Linked DNA regions of Nothobranchius furzeri. The protein of the gene in region 6 interacts with the protein of the main gene of each other region in a biochemical or structural test. Links are inferred from orthologs where the notes say so. Each region holds a gene or a part of one and is shown on either strand. Other genes may lie near its edges.

What was found.
Region 1: the proteins of gtf2e1 (region 6) and ercc3 form a complex in vitro, tested with the Homo sapiens proteins (2 studies listed by BioGRID). The link is inferred for Nothobranchius furzeri from reciprocal best matches to the Homo sapiens genes GTF2E1 and ERCC3.
Region 2: the proteins of gtf2e1 (region 6) and tbp form a complex in vitro, tested with the Homo sapiens proteins (3 studies listed by BioGRID). The link is inferred for Nothobranchius furzeri from reciprocal best matches to the Homo sapiens genes GTF2E1 and TBP.
Region 3: the proteins of gtf2e1 (region 6) and taf6 form a complex in vitro, tested with the Homo sapiens proteins (2 studies listed by BioGRID). The link is inferred for Nothobranchius furzeri from reciprocal best matches to the Homo sapiens genes GTF2E1 and TAF6.
Region 4: the proteins of gtf2e1 (region 6) and gtf2b form a complex in vitro, tested with the Homo sapiens proteins (2 studies listed by BioGRID). The link is inferred for Nothobranchius furzeri from reciprocal best matches to the Homo sapiens genes GTF2E1 and GTF2B.
Region 5: of the proteins of gtf2e1 (region 6) and cdk7, one has a biochemical effect on the other in vitro, tested with the Homo sapiens proteins (3 studies listed by BioGRID, with this or other methods). The link is inferred for Nothobranchius furzeri from reciprocal best matches to the Homo sapiens genes GTF2E1 and CDK7.

The regions. Positions count from the first base shown.
Region 1 is NC_091749.1:40,321,580-40,325,834, forward strand, and holds the start of ercc3 (general transcription and DNA repair factor IIH helicase/translocase subunit XPB), read right to left. Parts: upstream 2,801-4,255; 5' UTR 2,658-2,800; coding exon 2,630-2,657; intron 2,450-2,629; coding exon 2,253-2,449; intron 2,169-2,252; coding exon 1,932-2,168; intron 1,853-1,931; coding exon 1,803-1,852; intron 1,725-1,802; coding exon 1,589-1,724; intron 99-1,588; coding exon 1-98. Other genes in the region: gpalpp1 (GPALPP motifs-containing protein 1), read left to right, coding at 3,113-3,197, 3,299-3,410, 3,486-3,551, 3,657-3,906, 4,012-4,176. UniProt on the Homo sapiens protein: ATP-dependent 3'-5' DNA helicase/translocase. Binds dsDNA rather than ssDNA, unzipping it in a translocase rather than classical helicase activity. Component of the general transcription and DNA repair factor IIH (TFIIH) core complex.
Region 2 is NC_091749.1:35,004,844-35,008,203, reverse strand, and holds the end of tbp (TATA-box-binding protein), read right to left. Parts: intron 1,991-3,360; coding exon 1,896-1,990; intron 1,695-1,895; coding exon 1,615-1,694; 3' UTR 501-1,614; downstream 1-500. UniProt on the Homo sapiens protein: The TFIID basal transcription factor complex plays a major role in the initiation of RNA polymerase II (Pol II)-dependent transcription.
Region 3 is NC_091750.1:47,772,845-47,776,817, forward strand, and holds the start of taf6 (transcription initiation factor TFIID subunit 6), read left to right. Parts: upstream 1-1,173; 5' UTR 1,174-1,371; intron 1,372-1,511; exon of another isoform or gene 1,512-1,533; intron 1,534-2,636; 5' UTR 2,637-2,638; coding exon 2,639-2,794; intron 2,795-2,882; coding exon 2,883-2,969; intron 2,970-3,048; coding exon 3,049-3,202; intron 3,203-3,286; coding exon 3,287-3,343; intron 3,344-3,428; coding exon 3,429-3,548; intron 3,549-3,643; coding exon 3,644-3,765; intron 3,766-3,973. Other genes in the region: mrps31 (small ribosomal subunit protein mS31), read right to left, coding at 425-519. UniProt on the Homo sapiens protein: The TFIID basal transcription factor complex plays a major role in the initiation of RNA polymerase II (Pol II)-dependent transcription.
Region 4 is NC_091751.1:71,399,246-71,401,410, reverse strand, and holds the end of gtf2b (transcription initiation factor IIB), read left to right. Parts: intron 1-1,208; coding exon 1,209-1,342; 3' UTR 1,343-1,665; downstream 1,666-2,165. UniProt on the Homo sapiens protein: General transcription factor that plays a role in transcription initiation by RNA polymerase II (Pol II). Involved in the pre-initiation complex (PIC) formation and Pol II recruitment at promoter DNA.
Region 5 is NC_091757.1:44,652,888-44,656,981, forward strand, and holds the start of cdk7 (cyclin-dependent kinase 7), read right to left. Parts: upstream 2,801-4,094; 5' UTR 2,750-2,800; coding exon 2,684-2,749; intron 2,462-2,683; coding exon 2,402-2,461; intron 2,323-2,401; coding exon 2,289-2,322; intron 2,206-2,288; coding exon 2,138-2,205; intron 1,932-2,137; coding exon 1,863-1,931; intron 423-1,862; coding exon 312-422; intron 215-311; coding exon 96-214; intron 1-95. UniProt on the Homo sapiens protein: Serine/threonine kinase involved in cell cycle control and in RNA polymerase II-mediated RNA transcription. Cyclin-dependent kinases (CDKs) are activated by the binding to a cyclin and mediate the progression through the cell cycle.
Region 6 is NC_091754.1:12,358,441-12,362,683, forward strand, and holds the start of gtf2e1 (general transcription factor IIE subunit 1), read left to right. Parts: upstream 1-1,443; 5' UTR 1,444-1,627; intron 1,628-2,324; 5' UTR 2,325-2,330; coding exon 2,331-2,620; intron 2,621-2,702; coding exon 2,703-2,860; intron 2,861-4,243. Other genes in the region: rabl3 (rab-like protein 3), read right to left, coding at 1-21, 109-238, 468-559, 1,279-1,324.

The DNA.
Region 1 (4,255 bases), on a different chromosome or scaffold from region 6:
CTGAAGATGTCCTCAGGGACCTGCTGGTTTGAGGTCTGTCCATCAACAGGCTGCTGTGAGGTGGATGGGTCTCCTTTTTCTTGAACAAACTTAGAAATCTGGCCAAAAAAGAGAAATGTAATAGGAAAAATAAATATTTTACACTTTTTACGTAACGGGGGTTTAGTTTAAGAAAATGGGAGACGTTTCCCAAAAATCTACCAAATGTTTCATTTTATACACTAATTATTTCCTAAATACATCTCTAGAATAAAACATTCAACACAGTGACATTTTCATTCAGTTCTATTTTGAACTTCTGCAAACCCCTGTAAATTCAAATATCATCCATCCATTTTCTTTTGCGTATCCAGGGTCATGTCACGGAGGCAGCAGCCTAAGCAGGGAGGTTCAGACTTCCCTCTCCCCAGCCACTTGGGCCAGCTCCTCCAGGGGAATCCCATGGCATTCCCTGGCAAACTGAGAGACATAGTCCCTCAAGCATGTCCTGGGTCTTCCTTCAGGTCTCCTCCTAGTTGGACATGCCCGGAAAACCTCACCAGGGAGGCATCCAGGAGCTGGAGATCACGTTCTGATGAAGCCAACAGGACAACATCAACTGCAAAAAGCAGATATCTGATCCTTAGAACACCAAAATGGATTCCCTTATAACCTTGGCTACACCTACAAATCCTGTTCATAAAAGTTATGAGCAGAATCGCTGACAAAGGGCAGCCTTGGTGGTGCCCAACTCTCACCGGAAACGATCAAACTTATGGGCTATTCCCATCTGTATCGGGTCGGCCCGGGCCGGGTAGCCCCAGTTGGTCCCAGCCTGGCCCGGTTGATTTCAAACATCCTTGTCTTAAGCCCATGTGGGCTGATTCTACCCACCAATCAGAGGCTTGCTCTAATGGAAGGTGTGAATTTGCTGTCAGCAGTGGGTGTGTTGGCCCTGGTCGGCCTGAAGCAGACCCCCTCGAGAAGAGGGCTGAGAATGAGCCTTGGTTGGCCCGGAAAAATACCAGGCCACCCAGATATGTAAACAACCTACGCTACCCGGCCCGGGCCAACCCGGTACAGATGGGAATGGCCCATCTCTGTCTGCAATGTGGACCAAGCTCTGACACCAGTCATACAGGGACCTGACAGCCTGTATCACAAGGCCTGGTACCCATACTCCCAAAGTACCCCCCACAGGGCCCCCTGAGGGACAAAATCAAAAGCCTTCACCAAATTCACATTCACAAAGCACTGGTTTGGTAGACTGGTTGGGCGAATTCCTGCGCACCCTCCAGAACCTCCCTAAAGAACTGGTCCAGTGTTCCACGGCCAGGACAAAAACCACATTGCTTATCCTGAATCTGAGGTTCGACAATCCACCGGACCCTCCTTTCCAGAACCCCTGAAATAGACCTTACCAGGGAGGCTCATGAGTGTGATCACCCTGTAGTTGGAAAACGCCCTGCGGTCCCCCTTTTTAAACAGGGGGACCACCACCCCAGTCTGTGAATCCAGTGGAACTGCTCCCGAAGTCCACGAGATATTACAGAGCTGCGTCAACCAACAAATCCCCACAACATCCAGATCCTTAAGGAGTATGACATACTGCTGATTTGCTGTGGACAACTTCAGTAATAAGCTCAGGGTCTGCTCCATCTGCAGAGCGAAGACGACATTCACGGATCACGTTATCCTGCAGGAGACGCTGAATCACATCAGGGAAGGTGCTCTCTACAAAATACCTAGAAGAGGGAAAACACAAGTGAATAAAACCGCTGAAGAAATAAATGTTTTTGCAGAGAGAGACGAAAGACCTTTACCTATTGTGTTTGAGCACAAGCTTAACTTTCCCATAGCTCACAGTGCAAAGCTGAAAGAGGCAGAAAAATACAACAGATGAGCAAAAAAATAAACTGTTACTATAGGATCACATCCTGTCTATCTCTGACCTCAATGAACTTGATGATTCCATCAGGTACAGATGTTTTACTGAGCTTCTGCAGGTACTCTATAATATCAGTGGTCTGCAGCCCCACACTGACTGCTGCATATAAGGAGTATGCAGTCAGCTTGTACTCATGGATGTGGTTAGGCCTGCACACTGGCTCTGCAATAGCCACTAAGAAATCCTGGGCATACTTATATACTGGTGAGAACGCTTCCAGAAAGATGTGTCCATCTGGAGCCTGTAGAGAAGTGAGAACAAGATTTCACCTCTAAGAGATTACTGAGGTACAGCTGTGACTATAAGCAGCAATGACGCATCATACCACCCAGAGAGGACGGGAGTTGTGGTCATTCTTCAACTGCATCTGTGCGCGGTAGTCTTTGGCTCCATATTCATCCAGTTTTGTGCCAGATTCATCCACCTGCTTCCCTGCAGCAGCAGGTACAGCTTCCTGAGACTCCCCGACTGTCACCTCTTCATCGTCATCTTCCTCATAGTAGCGTCTTTTGAACTTCTTCTCTATAGCAGATCCACAAAACAATCATTAACATTACTAAAACATTTTAAAAATCAGTAGTTATGTTAAGATGCCATGGAATCAAAACTACATTTTGCTCAGACGTATTTGCGCTAGTATATTGCAGGTTAGCGTTCGGTGACTAGCTCCACGCAGATTAAAATGAAACGTTACCAACTTACCTCGATCTCCTTTATCTTTTTTACCCATTTTGAAAGGTTTACATGGGTAAAGTCTTAAAAATAGTCCCAAATGTATTTAGGTAAACACACAATACGTGTCTTTAAATGATATGAAGGAATAAACGATGTCTAGACTGTGCACTAAAGTGGAGCTCTGAATAACAAGCGTTTCCGTTCAAAAACTTTCAAAATAAAAGTTTTTATATTTCCGTTTTTGCCACAGAGACAGTGTACAGTTGATTATTACTTATATTTACGATAGTTTAATACAATTTACGAAGCTTTAAAACTACTTATTCAAAAATGTGTTTATTAAAATCTTAATTAAAAATAAATCACAATAGCAGGTGCATTTGTTTTGGCAGAACACTTTGAAGACTTCCGCTGCTGCTCTATTGTTTACTTCCTAGGTTAAAAGCCATAGAGTAAATACAGGTTTTGTTTAATATCCCCTGAAAATACGTAACGAAATTGTTAGCAAAGATGTCCTCTGATAAAATTATAGGACCTGCTTTGCCTCCGATATTTGGAAATGAGAGCTCTGAGGACGACGTTGACGAAAAAGATTGTAAGATACGTTTTGTTAGAAGCTAACGTGTTGTGGCAATTGATCTTTTCGGGTTGCTCTGTTCACTTTTAGCTAACAGTTTTATTTATGTCGCCGTCTAGTTGCTGGTCCTGCTTTACCTCCTGGGTATAAACGGGGTGAACAGTCTAGCTCCTCAGATGAAAGTGAACCAGAGGTGGCAGCTAAGCGAGCCAAGACTGGGAGAGCTGCAGAGTGAGTTCTGGTTCTGGTCTCATTTGTTAGTTAAAAGAAATAGAACGAACTTGACTAACATGTGTTTCTGAACAGGGATGATGATGGGTTCTTTGGACCAGCTCTGCCTCCAGGATATAAAAAGCAACATTCACCAGAAAGGTGAGCAGAAACATCAATATTCTCTAGTAACATAAATAGCACGTGTAAGGACACTTCCTGTTTAGGATAACAGTGTGACATTTGTTTGTGATGGTATTTTCTCAGGGCACCTGTGTTGGGGCCAGCTCTGCCTCCTGGGTTCTGCAGGACTGAATATGACAGTGATGATGATGATGAGGAAGAAATTGTTCCAGGACCTGCCCTTCCTCGGGGCTACTGTCCCGAACCCTCCAGCAGCGAGGGAGAGGAGGAGGACGTGATTGGACCCATGCCTGCTAAAGGACCGATTCAAGATTCTGTTGCTCATGATTTTGAGTGCAGGGCACGAAGGATGAAAGATAAGCTAACAAGAGTGGTAATTTTTCTCTAACATTTTTCTCCTCATAATAATTAAATTATAAAAGGGGGCTGTTTCTTCTTTGTGTCTTAATGTGTTCTTGTTTGTCCTCTGCGTAATTAGGATGTTCCAGAGGTGGTAACTAGAGAAACGTGGATGACAGAGCTCCCACCAGAACTGCAGCACATTGGTTTGGGTGCTCGTACTTTCAAGAAAAGGTCAGGTCCAGAGAACAAGGATCGCTCCATTTGGACGGATACACCAGCAGACAGAGAGCGCAAGGCTAGGGTACCTAAAAAAATCACCCACCGCTTACAGTGTTCAACATATTAGTTAATGTATATTATTCCTCAGTATCAATGTTTGT
Region 2 (3,360 bases), on a different chromosome or scaffold from region 6:
AACGTGTCCTGGGTCGACCCGGGGGCCTCCTGCCGGCAGGACATGCCGAAGCACCTCCCCAAGGAGGCGTCCAGGAAGCATCCTGACCAGAAGCCCATACCACCCTTGTTCTTAAAATTTAATGATTTTGACATGTCAGTTCCAACATAATCACCTACAAATGATTCTCTTTTGACTGATGTTACATGGGAGACAATCCTGACTTGTCTTTTTTATGATGGGTATCAAATAAGCCACAATTCCTTTTGTAAGAATGATTGTATTGTTTAATACACAAATTACTTTATTTCAGATATTCAGAGAAATTATGTATTTTCTGCAGCTCTAACATCCAACTACAACATGTTTTAACTCTTACCCAGAGGTTTTCCCTAAACTATTTCTATACAGGGATTCAGTATTTTAGTCTTCACAGTTTATTTCTTCATGGTGACTTTTGGTTTTACGCAAGAGACTTCAGCTGTAAAATGTTGCTGCAAAGAAAACCAAGTAGACTTGAGTCATATGTACACTTTTATTGGGTGGAAAAGAAAACAATGGACCAAACTTCTTCGAGTCTGCTGGGAGGACAGAAATCAGACAGAAGAGACAAAGATGGAGACTGAACATGTCACTAAATAAACCAGACTTTTAACTAGTTGCCATAAACGTCACTAGCTGACCGTATAACACATAAGACCACCAGCAATGACTTCAATGTGATCCTACTTGAGTTTTAATTTTAGACAAAGGCCAAACAGCCAAAATTCTGCTGATTTGAAACAACCAAAAACATTTTTAAAACTATACTGCATGGGTTTGAAATTAATATTAATCATAAGAGCTTTTTTTCCCTTATATCAATATTGAGCCTACTGAAATCCCGCTGAAGAGCTGCATCGACTTTAAGATTGGCATCACTTCTCATTCTAATTACAGAAGAACATATACACACATTCAAGTTTAACCATTAAACACTTTCTTCCTGTAACCACAACAAACCAGTTCTCTCTTTCAACAGAAAGATTGTTTCACGACTTCAACCAGACAAAGTCGAAAGTTATCAAACGCCTCTAAACAACTTAACTGTTTAGCAGCAGCAAACATTCATGGACAACTTGGCCAGTCAAATAAAGATTAGCTCAGCTTGAGTTAATGGGCGTCTACTCCCAATGAGTGTAAAAAAAAAGTCATTAATCAGGATTATTTTCTACCTTAAGGGAGTAAGCATAGGATTTAAAATCCCAAGTATCATGTACAGCAGGGGATTTAAAGAGAGGTCAACAAATGCTAACAGCTGAGAGTATAAAAGTATTTAAAACAGCTTCACATAAAACCAGCAGTCCTAGTCGTCGAACTGCTTTTCTGCTCAACAACACTTTACATTTTTTACAGTCATATGTACAGTTGGGGATGAGATGGGACAACAAAAACCTGCAACCACAGGACACAATAAACATGGTCAGAGTGAAAGAACAACCTTTAAAATGATGATTAAAAAAATTGAAGACAGAAAGATGGATGAAAAAACTCCCAACACCTGCATCAGTCTACCTTCTCATTAAAAATGTGACATTAAATAATGAATGAAATAAGAGGATCAGGTTTCAGGAGGTGGAAAAGAAACCCCAGGTCCTACGTCGTTTTGCGGAAACCTTTCAGAATGGGGTAAATGTTTTCAAATGCTTCGTAAATCTCTGATCTCACTTTGGCCCCTTCAGGAAAAACAAAAAAGATTGAAACATGGATCAGTATCAAGATGAATCTAGAAAACTTACAGAATCTCTTGTTCTATTTTAAATAAAAAAATTACAATCCTTTCAAAATAAAAGGAGATCCAAAACAATGTGCCAAATTATTAGGTGATACTTTAACTAGAATCTAAAAATACACCCGTCTGAGAGCTCGGGCCTTACCTGTGAGCACTACTTTCCCAGAAACAAAGATGAGCAAGACGATTCTGGGTTTGATCATTCTGTAAATCAGTCCTGGAAACAGCTCCGGTTCATAGCTACAAAACACAAGTTAGACTTTCACAATTATATGAATTTTAAATTAAAAAAATGTACCATTTTTAATTAAATCTTTGCAAACATTAGCGATGCTCAGATCAGGTTTTTTGCTGCTTATGGATTGGCCATAAATGTATCAATGCTGTTATTATACTTGCTACATGATCTGGAATAAAGGAGCAATAATATTGCCCAATTTTGACAAAATCATTTTACAAAATACAAGACTTGTCAGTGTGTTTCTGACCAGAACTTATAAGCCTTCTACTATTTTCAGTTCAACTCAAGATGATCATGTCCAGGATGACAGAGAAGCTTCCCCTTGTGCTTAGGGCTGTAGCGAAGCCTCGACTACGTCGACGGCTCGATTCTAAAAATTTGTCGACGTCAGATCCGGAAGTCGACGCACCGCGCCCACTTGTTGCATCCCCAGGAGTTTGTAAATAGAGGAGGAATCTGCCTGTTTTTCCTCTAGTTCGCCCTCTTCTCCGCCTTCACTAACATCTCCGCCAAATACCGAAGACCCGGAACAATGTCCGTCCACTACTAGATTATTTTCCTGTTTTGCCCGCCTTCGTCTCCCGGCAACGGACAACAACTTCCGGGGTCAGATGCGCTGCTCCGTCTCTATCGCAGATGTAGAAAATCACCGGGAGCGTTTCTCCCTTCATAAAGGAGCTTCTTTCAGACATTAGGAGAGCTGTTTTGGTGGTAGCAGTCTCTCCTCCGTGCTGGTCTGTTTGCTGCTGGGTGTTTTGGTTTATTTAAACTTGGTAACTTGAACTTAACGTTGGTAAAGCTACTGTTAGCATCTTCGCTAACAGCTTCTTGCGTTGGGATAAGCTGTTACGTTTTGGTTTAGAGTTAATCTTTTTTGTGGTGTAGATCTCCCTTTTATTACATTTAGAGTGTTGTGGGTTTTCGGTTTAGTGTAAAATATCACCTTGAGTTTGGTTTAACCCGTAAGACCACTCGCCTCACGCACATAAGTGACCAAAACAAAGCAGCGTGGAGACACTCCATCTTCTACCACCTCTCAGGCAGCAGCCTGCACTCCCAAGTTCTACACGTCACCAGAACATAACCAACCGCAACACAATAAAAGCAGTGTTATACAAAATGGAAGGCCTGTAGTGTTTATTCTCTTACAGTAACAATTTATCAATTTTTTTGAGGAATTTATTTGAGATTTTCTGGTTTTTGTTAATTGTGCAATAGAAAAATAATCATTAGATTAATTTTCTAAATAGTCATTAGAATAGTCGACTATTCGATAAAATAATCGTCAGAATAATCGTTTTAAAAATAATCGTTTACCCCCAGCCCTACTTGTGCTGTATTTTTGTTACAGGATGCAAAGTTTAGATCA
Region 3 (3,973 bases), on a different chromosome or scaffold from region 6:
GAATTACATCTGACACACCAACACATTTTTAACAAGTTTTATTTAACCAATGAAGCTTACAGGCTTACATAAGAGTCAATATTTACAGTTGAATTCTGAGCATGACAAAAAAAAAGCAGGTGTACAAACAGAAACAATAATATTAACCTAGCTCAATATCAACCTGCAGAAATCATAACAATATATATCGATAAAGATATATATTGCGTTAACCACAAGTGAAAACTATCCCAGAAATTTTTGGTAAAGATGCATGTGAAAAATAAATGTATCTCAGTTTCTATATTAGAAGTGCAAAAGGCACAATCGTTCTCTCCAATATTACATTTAGACTGCAAGGACACACCAGCACATCACAGCTACTTCCGATGCTCCAACATACTTCCGATGCTGCTATTCCTCTCGGCTCACACCGAACACTCACCGTGAAACCTTCTCGCGTTTAGGAAGACACGACTCGTAAACGCAGGATGAGGGGTTTCGTGCCAAACACACAGTCCGGGATACAAATCGGTACATAATTGTGTTTAGTAATGTCCTTCCACGTTTCCGAGTCCCCTTCGTTTCTACAGCATGAAGCCTCCCCTTGAAACGTAAGACCAACATTCGTTCCGGTGTCGTGCCGAAAGACGCTCCCGCTCATTGATTTGAATGCTGAATTTTCAAGTAAAAAATGAACCCTTGTGTTTAATTTTGGTATATACATCTGTTTTCACAATATGCTTTTTTATTTGAAGATAAACAGCAATTATAGGTACTTCAATACTTTTCCATATCATTAATCCGTCATTAAACACCGCGGTAAACATAAATACCACATTCAATTATTTGTAGTTTGTTAAGGTTGTTGAAAAACACAGGAAATTTAGGTCCGTCTGTTGACTGGATGGCATCCTACAGACTGTGTGCTTCTCGTGGCAGGGGTGCATTTACGAGCACAACACCTGTCAGAATTGTGCCAAAAATAGCTGATCCTCGCAGTAAAGTGGCTTTGTTCGTTATGATACTGTGAATAAAACAATATTACATGTGAATACTCAAAAATAAATATTCAAATGTGTTTGTGTCTCTGGGCTGGATATGAACAATCGATTTGGACATAAAAGAAATTGCCAGCTGCTTCAGCTGTCAACGTAGTCTCGCGCGATTTCATAGTCTGAACGTGACTCAAAATGGCGACAGAATACTAGCGCTAATTCATAAACGGATGTTTCAGCAGCAGTCCGTGCTCAACTTAGCTCTAAACATTTAAAGATGGATTTTAACAATGAAAAACTAGCTCTACGAAAGTATTCTTGTTATAAACATTGATATTTTATGTTCGTTTAAACTCTCGCGTTAACCGAGAAAGACGTAAACGACTTCATAAAGGTAAAAAAAATGACCGTCAACGGCAGCTACATTATTAGCATAGAAGCTAACAAGCATCAAATTTACCGCAACTACTTGTCGTTATTAAAGACAATGCAGCACCCAAAGCCTACAGATTTAGACAACTTTGTGACGTGGTTAAGCTGAAGCGTTTGGCAGAGTGTAGGTTTATTCTTGGTGATGCTTCTGCTTGTTCTGTCAGACTGCTTACCCGCTCCTCGGAGCTCCGTCTGTTTACATGCATTAAGTGTTTATTTGAAAAACTTGAGTTCACATTTTCTGCAATTTTTCTTTTACATTGTGGAAGCAATGGTATCAAGACGTGTTAAGTTTAGTCGTGTTGTGATAACGTGTGTTTGATGTTTAAACATTTTAAGTTGATATAATTTATCCAGTAGAGATGAACGTCCTTCTGTTATTTTATTTGAGCTGTTGCTCTAAAATAGGGTTATGTTTTTGTTTATGTGAATAAGATTTTCTAAGCTTTGTTTTTATGTGGAATACTATAATTAACAGCAGTGTTTAACGTCTGATCTGAGCTGTCAGTATAAAAAAAGCTCCAAAGACACAAATATTGCTTTAGAGTCCAGTTTTTTGTAAGTGTTGTTGTTTTGTGCTTTTGTTAACATCTACCCACTTTCTAGTATTAATAAATTACTAATTTTAACAATCAATATTGGTACAAAAGTTCAAACGGTACATATGTACTACTATGTTGTCACAAGCATTGTTCTTTTTCTTGGTTATATGTCCTAAGGGAAAGTAGGAGTTGGACTTGCAGGGAGATTTTTTTTTATCCGACTCCGTCTAACTTTTGTCTGCCACTACTAGATAAGCTCTTAAAGCAATTTTTACCCTTGAATGTCTTTGATTCACAGTGAAACGCTTGTTGTGAACTGTTTAAGATGTTCTTGGGTCGATCCATTTAAGTTTCACTGTAGTGTTCTTTTATTTCAGACACATTACATTTTGTAGGCAGATTTGTTTTTGTGTCATTATTAAAACAATTATCAATGAGATTTTGTTAGATGTGGTCTTAAAATAAATGCATCAGTAGTAATGAACTGAAAACAGCTTAAGAATTCTCTTTCTAAGGTAATATGCATTACATTGTTGGTCCAGCACTGTAGTCTTTGTCGGAATTAACTCAGAACACTGTGATTGGGACTCATCAAATGTCTTCATTAATAAACATTATGTTGTCGAATTGCCAAATGATTAAGTAAAGAAACTCAGCATCGTACTGTCTCGTTTTGTTATTTCAGCCATGGCGGAGGAACGCAGGCAAAAGCAGTGTTCAGTCGTTCTGCCAACAGAGTCGATGAAGGCCATGGCGGAGTCTGTGGGAGTCGGGCAGTTACAGGAAGACAGTTGTGTAGCTCTTAGTGAAGAGGTCAGCTACAGAATAAAGGAAATTGCACAGGTAAATTAATGGTTATTAATGTAGGTGTTATAATTTGTATGATGTGTGAATTATTTAGTGCTTTTTTGATATTTTTCTCTTTACACAGGATGCTCTGAAATTCATGCATCATGGGAAGAGACGAAAACTAACCACGAGTGACATCGACAATGCTCTCAAACTAAAAAATGTAGAGGTAATAAAGAGCGCTTATTATACCCGAAGGATGAATTGGGTGTGAATTTTCTGTTTTAAGAAATTTGTTTCTTTTTCAGCCCCTGTATGGGTTCCAGTCACAGGAGTTTATTCCTTTTCGCTTTGCAAGTGGAGGTGGAAGAGAGCTTCATTTCTATGAGGAAAAGGAGGTTGATCTCAGCGATATTATAAACACACCTCTCCCAAGAGTTCCTCTAGATGTGTCTCTCAAAGGTACTCGGATTAGGAGGATTATATGCTGTTTTGTGATATTAAATTAGCTCATTTATCAAATACATTTTATAATTTAATCTACAGCTCACTGGTTAAGTATTGAAGGGGTGCAACCTTCAATTCCTGAAAATCCTCCACCAGGTGAGCCCTACTTAGGTTTGATCTGTTATCATGGGAGAGGTTATAAATGTTAAAAACACTCAAGACTTTTTTTCCTACTTGTTAGCATCAAAAGAGCAACAAAAAACCGAATCCACGGAGCCGCTGAAAGTTGTCAAACCCGGTCAGGAGGAGAAAGGTACGATTCAAGGCAAAGGCCAGAGCACCACAACCCCAGATGGCAAAGGTCAGTGTTTATTTCAGTTTGCTAATAGAAGCTAGACACCTCTGTATCATGATGTGTGTTAACTTCACTCATGTCTTTGTGTCCCTCTGGTACAGGAAAGGAGAAGGGTCTCATCAGGCTGAAGCCACGTAGCACTCACGAGCTCTCTGTAGAGCAGCAGCTCTACTACAAGGAAATCACAGAGGCGTGTGTGGGCTCCTGTGAAGCCAAGAGAGCAGTACGTCTTACCTGACTTTCTGATGCATGTTGGCCAAATGTTCATAATTCAGTCCTGTAGCATAAAGGGATACTATGCAACTTTTTATAGTTTTGAATAATTTTTTGAGCCAGTTTGTGCCAAAACGATCCTTTACAGGGTTAATGAAATGTCACTCAGACCCCCACCGCCCTCTGTAGCCAGAATACCACATTTGCAAATTCAGAGT
Region 4 (2,165 bases), on a different chromosome or scaffold from region 6:
ACACAAACGTTCACCTGTTTCGTAGTGCGGAATGTATGAAAGGCTTGATCCAGTGATGTTACTCAATCAGAGAACAAGAGCCAATCAGAGAACAAGAGCCAATCAGAGAACAAGAGCCAATCAGAGAACAAGAGCCAATCAGAACAAGAGCCAATGAGAGAACAAGAGCCAATCAGAACAAGAGCCAATCAGAGAACAAGAGCCAATAACAGTAAGTTAGAAAAACACGAGTTTTTTTCTTAACTGTTATTTACAAAAATGTGAATCTTAACGGACCGCTTATATCGGAGACTTTTAATGCCGGCAGATATAATCCGATACTGTTTTTGGGCCGATATTGGATTACTTCCAATATCGATATTGGATAACTTCCAATATCGATATTGGAAGTTATCCAATATCGGAACGGGACATCCCTAAATTCTGTTTCAGAAGAGACCAGGCTCTGTTAGTGAGGTGGTGCCTCATAACTATTCATCTTAATATTAGTGATCATGATAATTAATAACTGTTGATCACTCTTAATATTGCTAATAAGCCAGTGGTGGAACAGTTGTTTAACCTGCTGTACGGAGAGATGAGGATGATAAATAACCCAGTAGACCTGACCCCTGGTTCTGGGTTGGTTAAAGGGAAATCCAGCTGGGATACACATTACATTCAACATGTAGAGGAAGAGAAAGGACAGATAAGCCACTCCCACTCTCTCTAGGCTGAACTTGTCTCTGCTCAAGGCTGCAGATTTCTGACGGGTTACAGATGATGGACCTGCTGTATGCTAGCGCTAAAGCCGAGCGCTAGCAATCACATTCATATGAACTCATTAGCAAACCTAGCTTTAGGTGATGTACACGTTTCATTGGAAAGTAGCTCCTTATGTCCTCAACCTTCAACGGATTTCCTGTCCCACGTAAAACGGTTGTTCTAAGACACAAACTCATTTGCATTTTTAGACAATGTTCTAGAAATGACTTCATGTTTTCTCCTTTAATGTAAAGCATTGCTACAGTTTACGCTTGTTTCAGTAACTATTACGGAGGAGACAGAAGGTTTTTGTCCCTTTGGGGGCTCCATAGGCTGGGCAGACACCCCGACCATCAGTTGCAGTGCCCTCCGCTCGACTCGTCTCCATGAATCCTGGGAAAATCCCACCTGGGACATCAGCTCCAGCTCCCAACGTTCTCTAACCGTTTCCTGTTCTTCCACAGAAATTGGTGACATTGCCGGCGTGGCAGACGTCACAATCAGACAGTCTTACCGACTCATCTACCCACGTGCCGCAGAGCTTTTCCCCCCAGACTTCAAATTCGACACACCTGTGGACAAGCTGCCCCAGCTGTGAGGAGTCGTCTGGCTCAGGCGGCGTTCCTCTGCTGTACTCGAGTTTTTCTAGCTTTTTATTTCCCTTCTGGACTTGAACAGTTTTCCACTTCCAGCCCGACGGCAGCAGACATTCCAGTGCTTAAACAGCTTGCAGACTGTACGTACAGTATCGTGTGTGTGTGTGTGTGTGCTGTACCGTGTGTGTCCAGATGAGCGATGCCACTGATGCTTGCAGGTTTAGGCTGTTTTCATACTGTAAACATGAGGCTTTTGTTTTGGGGATTCAGGTTCTATTTTGTTGGAATTGTTCCAAGTAATTTAAAAATAAACGATTTTCATGAATTTAATAAAACTAAAGTCTCGTTTCCAGCGACGGGTCCCAGCTGAGCTCTCACTGAGAACAGACGTCCACCCAGACGTGAACGGGTGATGTCATCACCACACGGGCTGCAAAAACGCTTTTATGCACCAAGGTTGTGATTAAGTCATTTATGTACCATTCATACAGTTTACATCAGACAACATGCACATAGATAAAAAAACATTTTGTACAATCTATTTGCATAATGAAGAAATGTAGATCCTGACAACTATTGCTAGAATCAGTGCTTTCAGCTCGACTGCATCCACATGTTGTGTAAATCAGCTCCTCTGCGGTGAGACGGGACAGCGTACGAAGAACTTTAACGGATTTAAATGAAGTTTTGGTTCAGCTGGAACTTTACTGCTGATTTCTGACGTAATGAAATGAATCAGTGACCAGTAGGGGGCGCCAGAGGTTAAGGAGTCTAATTTCCGGTTCTGTTGCGGGAAGCCGCAGTGGTCCAGATGTTTGTGGAGGT
Region 5 (4,094 bases), on a different chromosome or scaffold from region 6:
TGTTTGATCTTTAGTGTAGAGGTGAGAAATTCTATTTTGTAAAATTAGATTAAAGCCAACAAAACGATCGTTGTCATTACTGCAGCGGCTCTGACCTGGTAACAACTTGATGAGTGTAGATTCTGTTGGGGCTTCCAAAAGCTTTGGCCAATCCAAAATCAGCCAACTTCAACACTCCGTTACTGTCTAGCAGCAGATTGTTGGGCTTCAAATCCTGAACGTATAAAGGAAAAAAGAAGCAATAATTCTAAATAATAAATCACCTCTGTGCATTTGCAGAATACGACAGAGTGGTGTTTAGGTGCTCGTACCCTATGTAGGACCCAATGTTGGTGCATGTACTCTAATCCTTGTAATGTCATGAGGATGTAGGCTTTAATATTGGCTGGAGTCAAGACTAGGCTTGTGTCTTTGATGATAACCTGAAAAAATAAAACGCACACAAAAAAATCTAAGCAAAACAACAAAAAATATGCTTATCTGACCCACACAAGGAAGCTTTAGAGAACTGAGATCAGACCAAACAGCTTCACTTTAACTACTCGACAAATCCCCAAAATGTCCGTAAAACTAAACATCTGTAGCTGATAGTTTAAACATTAACTGACTGAACCTAAAAATGTTTACAACATTATTGAAAAAGAATAGCCTCATAATTCACACATGCCTCCCCTAACTGCTGCCTGCCAGCTGCTAATGGCATAAATGTATTTGAGCCAAGAAGAGAGTGATATTGATTATTTGGAAGCACTTTTGTCTTTTTATTGCATCAGTAAAGTCTAATGTGTCTGAGGTGTGCGTCCGTCTGGAGTCTTGCACGTTAAAACGGAATGAAAAAGGAGAATGGGAGCATGAAAGAATAATTTTACTTTCATTTTAGTTGCTCCTTTTGTAAAGACATTTGATCTTGCAGCACACATCCTTATGTTACACGTTTCTCCCTAAACAAAACCTTAAACATCACAAATGTTCTTTATTTAATTCCAAAATTAAAAAGTCATTGAGGGAATGATTACTAGTGGTCCACAAATGCAAAAAAAAAAAAAAAAAAAAAAAAAAGAAGAAGAACGAATTTAACCCGACACAACACATGTATATACAATTTTATAATACCATGATTATTGTCTTTTTAATCAAAATTAGACCACAATTCTGTAAAGAAGTCACTTTCATTACTTACTCATTTGTATAAAAAAGTGCAATCATAACCACCTTTTCACCAAAATCCTGGGGAATGTTTAACTGAATCAATTTTTAAAGACTTTTTTGTTCTTTAAACCCTCAACCAAAAATTAAGCCTTAAATGGGAGAGCTATTTTACACGCTGATTGCTTATGATACTTGGATATACAGAACTAAAGTTAATTTAACCCTAACCCGACTTAGTGAAGACCATTTAATAGTACTTAAATTACAGGGGAAAAAAATCTAGTGCAAATATAAAAACAAGCTGTATGAATGTTCTATTACAGTGGTTCCCAACCTTCTTTCCATGGGGACCCACTTGCCTGTATCCAAGATGAGCCAGAACCCCCAACCACAACTTCTTCCAGCATCCACACATTAAAAATGATTAATTAAAAACTTTACACAGACATACAGATATTTGATTATACATTTGGGTGTGTCATTTGGATTTTAGAAATGTAATTCTTACAAAAACTACCTTGGTATTCTCACAACCTGAGCACAGACACATTTGTGGGGACCTCCAGCAATCCTGAGCAGGCCCCCATGGGGGGTCCCAGACCCTAGGTTGGAAACCACTGTTCTATTATATTAATGCGGAACTTCATCATATTCAGAAGTAATAATATCAGAGGGATAATTGTGCATATAATCAAAAACAGGAGGCAACTCACCTCCAGGTCTGTTTCCATAAAATCAAACACCAGGCTGATGTTTGATTTATGTCCAAATGCATCCAACAGCTACAACACATAGCACAGTAAATAACCAACACTGCATTTAAAAGAAACAAATTAATAACACGAGAATACCAAGATGCCTGATCAAACACACAGTGCCTCTTAAACGTTCAGACACACATCTACCCAAATTAAATAATTAGGTTGATTTTTCCAGATGTTTTACTGGAAATGTAGAGGACATAAATGCATGAACATAGTTTGAGTACCCCAATGATATTTGGATGATGCAGCTCCTGTAGCAGTTTGATTTCCCTGAGAGCAGTCCGATTTACACCTGCAAGAAAAGAACATTTATTTTCAATAAGATACAGCACGAGTGTTTGGTATGTGTGGGGCACAGGTGTGACTATGACTTACCATCTTTAGCTTCAGTTTTGTGACCAACTTTTATCTGAAAACAAGCAGATAATCAAATTTAACCCCGAACACCACAGTGTCCGATTAAAGCAGAAACTTCACTTTTTTTGTACCTTTTTGATGGCAACTATTGTGTCTGTCAGTTTGTCTCTGGCTTTGTAGACTGTGGCAAACTGAAGAGATGAAAGAAAGGTTATTAAAGGAGAGCATACAACGCGCTGAATGCTTTTAGAGCTAGTGTGATCACACCGAAGCTGCTGGGGCTTTGTTGACATTAGCTACCAGCTAACGCTTGTTATCAAGTTACTGAAAACGTTAAACAACAAAGCAAAAATAATAAAAGTGAGCGAAACGAAGAGTAGATATCGAAAACTTTGAAATAATTCTCTGCCTACCTGACCCTCTCCGAGAAAATCCAGTTTCTCGTATCGTTTCGCTCTGATTTTTACATCAAGCGCCATGGTAGCTAGCAGTAAGCTATCTTTTGGTCTGGTTAAAGGGCCAGAAAACTTCTTCCGGGGCAAAGGTGTCAGGCTTTAAAACTGAGCAACTGCGCCATCTACTGGTCAGGCTAAAACAATTTAATGTCAAAAGATGTGCAATTTTTTGGTTGAAAGAACACGTTCAGAATGATTTAAAATATAAACAGTTATTTAATACAAACTATGTAGGAATTGTTGTGACTTGTTCAGTCCCAATTAATGTCACCTAACTAAAAATCAAAATGTATTTCACCCTTTATTTAATCTTTTATTATTTTAAAATAAAGGATGAAATACATGTTTCTGATTTAGAGGAAAGACAACACAAATCTCATGGCAATTTGCCATTTTCCATTTGTTTTTTTTCATCCACCAGTTTTGACACTGGTCTCCTGGGAGCCTGTTCTGTCAGTTAGGAAGTTTTTGTGATCCATGCACCACTGAGCACATCTCTACATCCCATCACCATTCACTGTAAGATACCATAACATCCCACAGGATTAGGCACGGCTCCTTTGACCTTACTTGTCTTCTGTCTCAAATGCCCAAATTCTCACCCGTCAACACACACACACATTCAGAACACTCACCACTGACTTTCATTTTAATGTTAAGTTTGACAAGAGGAGTGTGAAGGATCAGCATGCCTAATACACCCCTCACCCCCCTCAGATGTATGCACATTCATGGTCTGACAGCTCACAGATGTGACTGACAGTATGTGGCTGTGCAGCAGAGAAGAGAGCAGTCTAGCCACACTTCAGTCCTTGCTGCCATCACATCATCAACTTTTCAGGACACAAATGCTGGCTTTGGTGTAGAAGAACTCTTATGGGTCTTGTATGAACCATTGTTTATTGCTCTGTCAAATACTTAGAATAACTGTTAAAAATTCAGCTTATTGTTTGTATCTGACCTTGCATAATGTGCAGTTTGTGCTAAATATCTAAGAAAACGGACAAGTGGAGGTCAAAAACAGAAACAATCCTGTCTTTAAAGACTGAGTCAAATCCAGCAAAGTCTTGACTGAGATGTAGATGATCCTACTGTTGATCATTGACTGCGTGTCAGGTTGGGACCACAAGCTTTTCCAGAATCACCTTGTTGGGATTAAAATTCTGATTTAATTAACAGATCAATACATTTAACAGGAAATTAATCAAACTTTGTGTTTTTGGACAGTCTGCTGGTATCTAAGAGTCTAAAGATGAAATTTTAGGGATGTTTGATATCACTTTTTCTGCCAATATCTGATAAAACGTAAGTCAGCTTCTTAATTTCCAATAACAATTTAAACCACACCAATAAACGCAATTAAACGTGT
Region 6 (4,243 bases):
AATCGTGCACCAAAACAATTCCTAGAAAAAAAAAAAACAAAAAAAACACAATTTTTAAACTACTTGCGATGTCTGTTTTGTTTAAACTTGTAAGTGTACCTCCTGTACCGTTAACAGAATTGTAAAAGACGGCTCTTGTGCTTTTGATACTGCTTGCGCTGCCAACAGATCCTCCAACATCCCAAAGTTCAATATAGAAGGTTTTCTCCTCGGGGGTTCCCTCTTTGTAGTCATGAATCTATAAGTGAACAAATGTCATAAATCTGCATTATACCAGCGACAAATTGATATGTTAAAATTAACCAACTGTACTGGAATAAAGCAGCTATTACAACTGGATTATTGTGTGATGACAGAATAAACCACTGAGGTAAATTTAACAAGGGAAAATACAGATTATTTTTGTTGACGCTGACACAACCACTATGCAAAAGTTGACTGAACTAAAGAAATACAGATGAGCTTACCCGTACATCCACAGAGCAGCCAACAGTCCAAGATGGGTTCCCTAAAACCTGATTATGACACAGAAGATGAACTAAGGAACTCTTGCCGACGCCTAAAAAAGACAAATATGTGAGAACAGAGCTGACACAAACCAACAACTCCTGTGGCAGTTTCCTGTATTAGTTTTGAGTGTGTTTAAGAATCCAGTTTGCTAAGAACTATCAACAAATACATCATGACGGACTAAGACAACATTAAGTTTAAATAAAATAATATTTATAGTAAATCCTTCCAACGTATGACCATCCAAAGGCATTTAAAAACTGAACCAAATATAATAACACTAAAACAAATGTTGTGCTTTCTTTGAAGCATCTTGCTTTGAAACATCGTCTATCACAAATTAACTCGTTTGTAACTTTAAAATAACGTCTCGTTTTTCTTTATTTTTTTATTTTAAAGAGTCTGACTGAGTTTGCCTTTAATTTGGGCACATTTCCCAAACACTTGGCTCCGTTTCACTTGATTTATCTCGAACTAAGTGTCTTCTTGCAAACAAATGTCCTTTACTTGGCCAGTAATCTAACGGAAGCTCTTTGGATTTAATCCGTTATTTCATCAAAAATAATAATGAGTTTATGATGCGTTTTGAATTACCCGAATTTTTGTTTTGCAGCACAGCTAAGTCATGATTGACGATTTTAACTCGATAATTTCAGCCTCTAAGATATTTACAAATGAAAGAAACGCATTAATATTAAAGACGCATTTTTAAATGTACAAAAGTGTAATATGTGATGGGTCAATAGGTAAACTACTTAAGAAACTTACCAGAATCTCCTAAAACTAGTACCTTAACCCTGTCAAGAGACGCCATATTTTTTTTGCTAACGTCAGAGTGAACCGGTACAACAACATCTAAGCCCCTCCCAGAAGACTAATTTCTGGATATCGGGATTGGTCAAATTTAACGTCACTCAAGAAACCCTCTGGTTCCTGTTCCGGTAAGCGCGAGACAACTCGTTGATTATCAAGGTAGCTAGCTTGACGTTCAAAGAAAATCCAAGTTTGCTAAAGTTTTCTGTAACTTTTAGTTGTGGCAAGTTACTAGTAGTAAACATCAGGTTGAAATGAGTTAAGGAGCGGTTCAAGTATCCGGGGTGGAACAGAAGGAATACAGGTAAGACTTGGTGGCTGCTAGCTTGAAGCTAGTCTGGCTGCTACCTTTGGTTTAGAATTCAAGGCTAGGAAACTTGAAATGTTAACATTCACGAGCTTTTGTGTGGAGAGTCTAAAGTTAAATAGTTAGGCACAGACTAGTTTCACGGTCATTTAGCTGTTTTTTTATCACTATGACGCTTTTGTTAGTTGCTTAACGTTAAGGTAATAAAGTTATTGGTGAAAATGCCTCTAGTTTTGTATATGTTGTGCAAAAATTGGGGAATATCAAAAGCTTGAATCCATTCATCACGTATTAAGGTAATTTATATGTTTAAACCTCAATATGGGGAAAATACTGAATGAAATAAAGCTTTGATCAGTTTTATTTTAGTGAGCAGATGGATCATGCTGGCACTTTTAATTTAATTTGTTGGTTAATTTCGATTTTATTCTATCAGGGACATTATCAGTGTTTTATATTTGGAGCCGTGTTTATAATATTTTTGGCTATCCGTAGGAGTTTAATGGTTAATTTGCTTGTTATTGAACTTGCAAACGGTTGACATCACATTTTCATCATAAAGGGAGTGAGTACCATGTGGATGAACAGTCACACATTTGACTTATTCTTTCTCCTGAAAAAGCACCATCTTTTTGTTTATGTGCCCAAGAAAACAACTCATTAGCAGTTTTAATATTTGCGTTTCCCTCCACAGCCCAAGATGATTGAGCCAGAGCTTCTAACCGAGGTCCCTGCTTCACTGAAGAGGCTAGCTAAGCAGGTTGTGAGGGGATTTTATGGTGTAGAGCATGCCTTGGCCCTGGATGTGCTCATTCGCAACCCTTGTGTGCGGGAGGAGGACATGCTGGAGCTGCTCAAGTTTGACCGGAAACAGCTGCGCTCTGTGCTCAACACTCTGAAATCAGACAAATTTGTAAAGTGCCGCATGAGAGTGGAGACGGCCCCTGATGGCAAAACAACGCGACACAACTACTATTTTATCAACTACAGGTTTTAGGATTCCTTAAGATTTTTTTTATTTAACTTGACATATGTTGGATTTATAAATATAGTGTTTTTTTATTTTATTTAGGCTATTGGTCAATGTTGTAAAGTACAAACTGGATCACATGCGAAGACGCATCGAGACGGATGAGCGAGACTCTACTAACCGGGCCTCCTTTAGGTGCCCCTGCTGCTTCTCTACGTTCACTGACCTGGAGGCGAATCAGCTGTTTGATCCTATGACGGGTACGCTCTCATGAATAATCATGTTCATTGTTTTCATTAAGCTCAGAAATGTTTTTTTCTTGGTAGTTTTGTGAAAATCTTCTAGGAAACTCTGGTAAATATTCAAGCTAAAATCAAGCCAAATCTGTTCACTGAATATTGATATAAAATATCAAATGGTTTGCAGTTTGATTATTTTGATTGCATTCTGAGCAATTTGCCTCTAGATGGCAGTGAAGGCAAATGCATTTACTAAATCAAGTTCATGTACAAAGCCATTTTTTAAATATTTAGTACATTGTTTTAATGAACGGAGCTATTAAACTTTACATACAAACTTTAAATTATGTCTGAATGAAAATAAGCTCCAATTGGTGCAGAACTCAGCTGCACGCAGCCCTGTCCTCCAGCAGCTCTACTGGCTTCCTGTTAACACATTGAATTCAAAATCCTTCTCACCTTTAAAGCCATCCATAACCTTTGCCCCATACCTGTCTGACCTCATTCACATCGTCTCTCCCATTCATTCCCTCAGATCTTCCGCTTCTGTTCCCTCATTCTGTCTCAGCACTATGGGGAGCAGAGCTTCATCTGTTCTACTCATTTCTGAAATTCTCTCCCTCAAGCCGTCTGTAACTGACTTGCTCTCCACCTTTAAACCTAGACTCAGGCCCTGTCCACACGTAGCCGGGATCTGCCAAAACGTAGATATTTTTCTACGTTTTGGCCTGTCATCCACACGAAAACAGAGTTTTTTCACACGAAAACTGAGTTTTTTCACACAAAAACGGATCTTTTTAAAAACTCCGGCCAAAGTGAAGATCTGCGTTTTCTCCGTTTTGGGTGTCTGCGTGTGGACAGACAAAACCGGAGTTTTAAGGTCTGCAACGTCACTTTCCGCGACAAAAAATGCTGACATCACGTGTGCGACCTGTGTTTACACTAGCCGACAGCATGGATGCCCTCAGAGCTGCGCTCTGTCACTACCCGATCCATCAATTGTCCAAGCGCTTTTTGCTTGTTTGTTTTTGCAAGTGGAATTACTGATCCTTGCAGAAGACCACAGACGAAGGACGAGGTTAAGAACGGGGGAAGTACTGCCGCCTACAGGTCTGGCATGTCCTTAACAACGTATTTATCCGGGTACGTGTGGACAGAGTTTTTTTTTTTAAATGAGGTGGTGTGGATGCAAGTTTTTGGAGGGGCGGATATTCGTTTAAAAAAAACGGCTACGTGTGGACTAGGCCTAAAAAACTCACTTATTTCCAACTGCCCTGATGTTATTATCTAGTTAGTATTTTTAATGTTCCTTTGTATTTTTTGCTGTTTTTAACCTAGTTTCTTTGTGTTTTTGGCTATAAAGTGTCCTTGTGTTTCTTAAAATAAATAGATAAAAAGCATTCT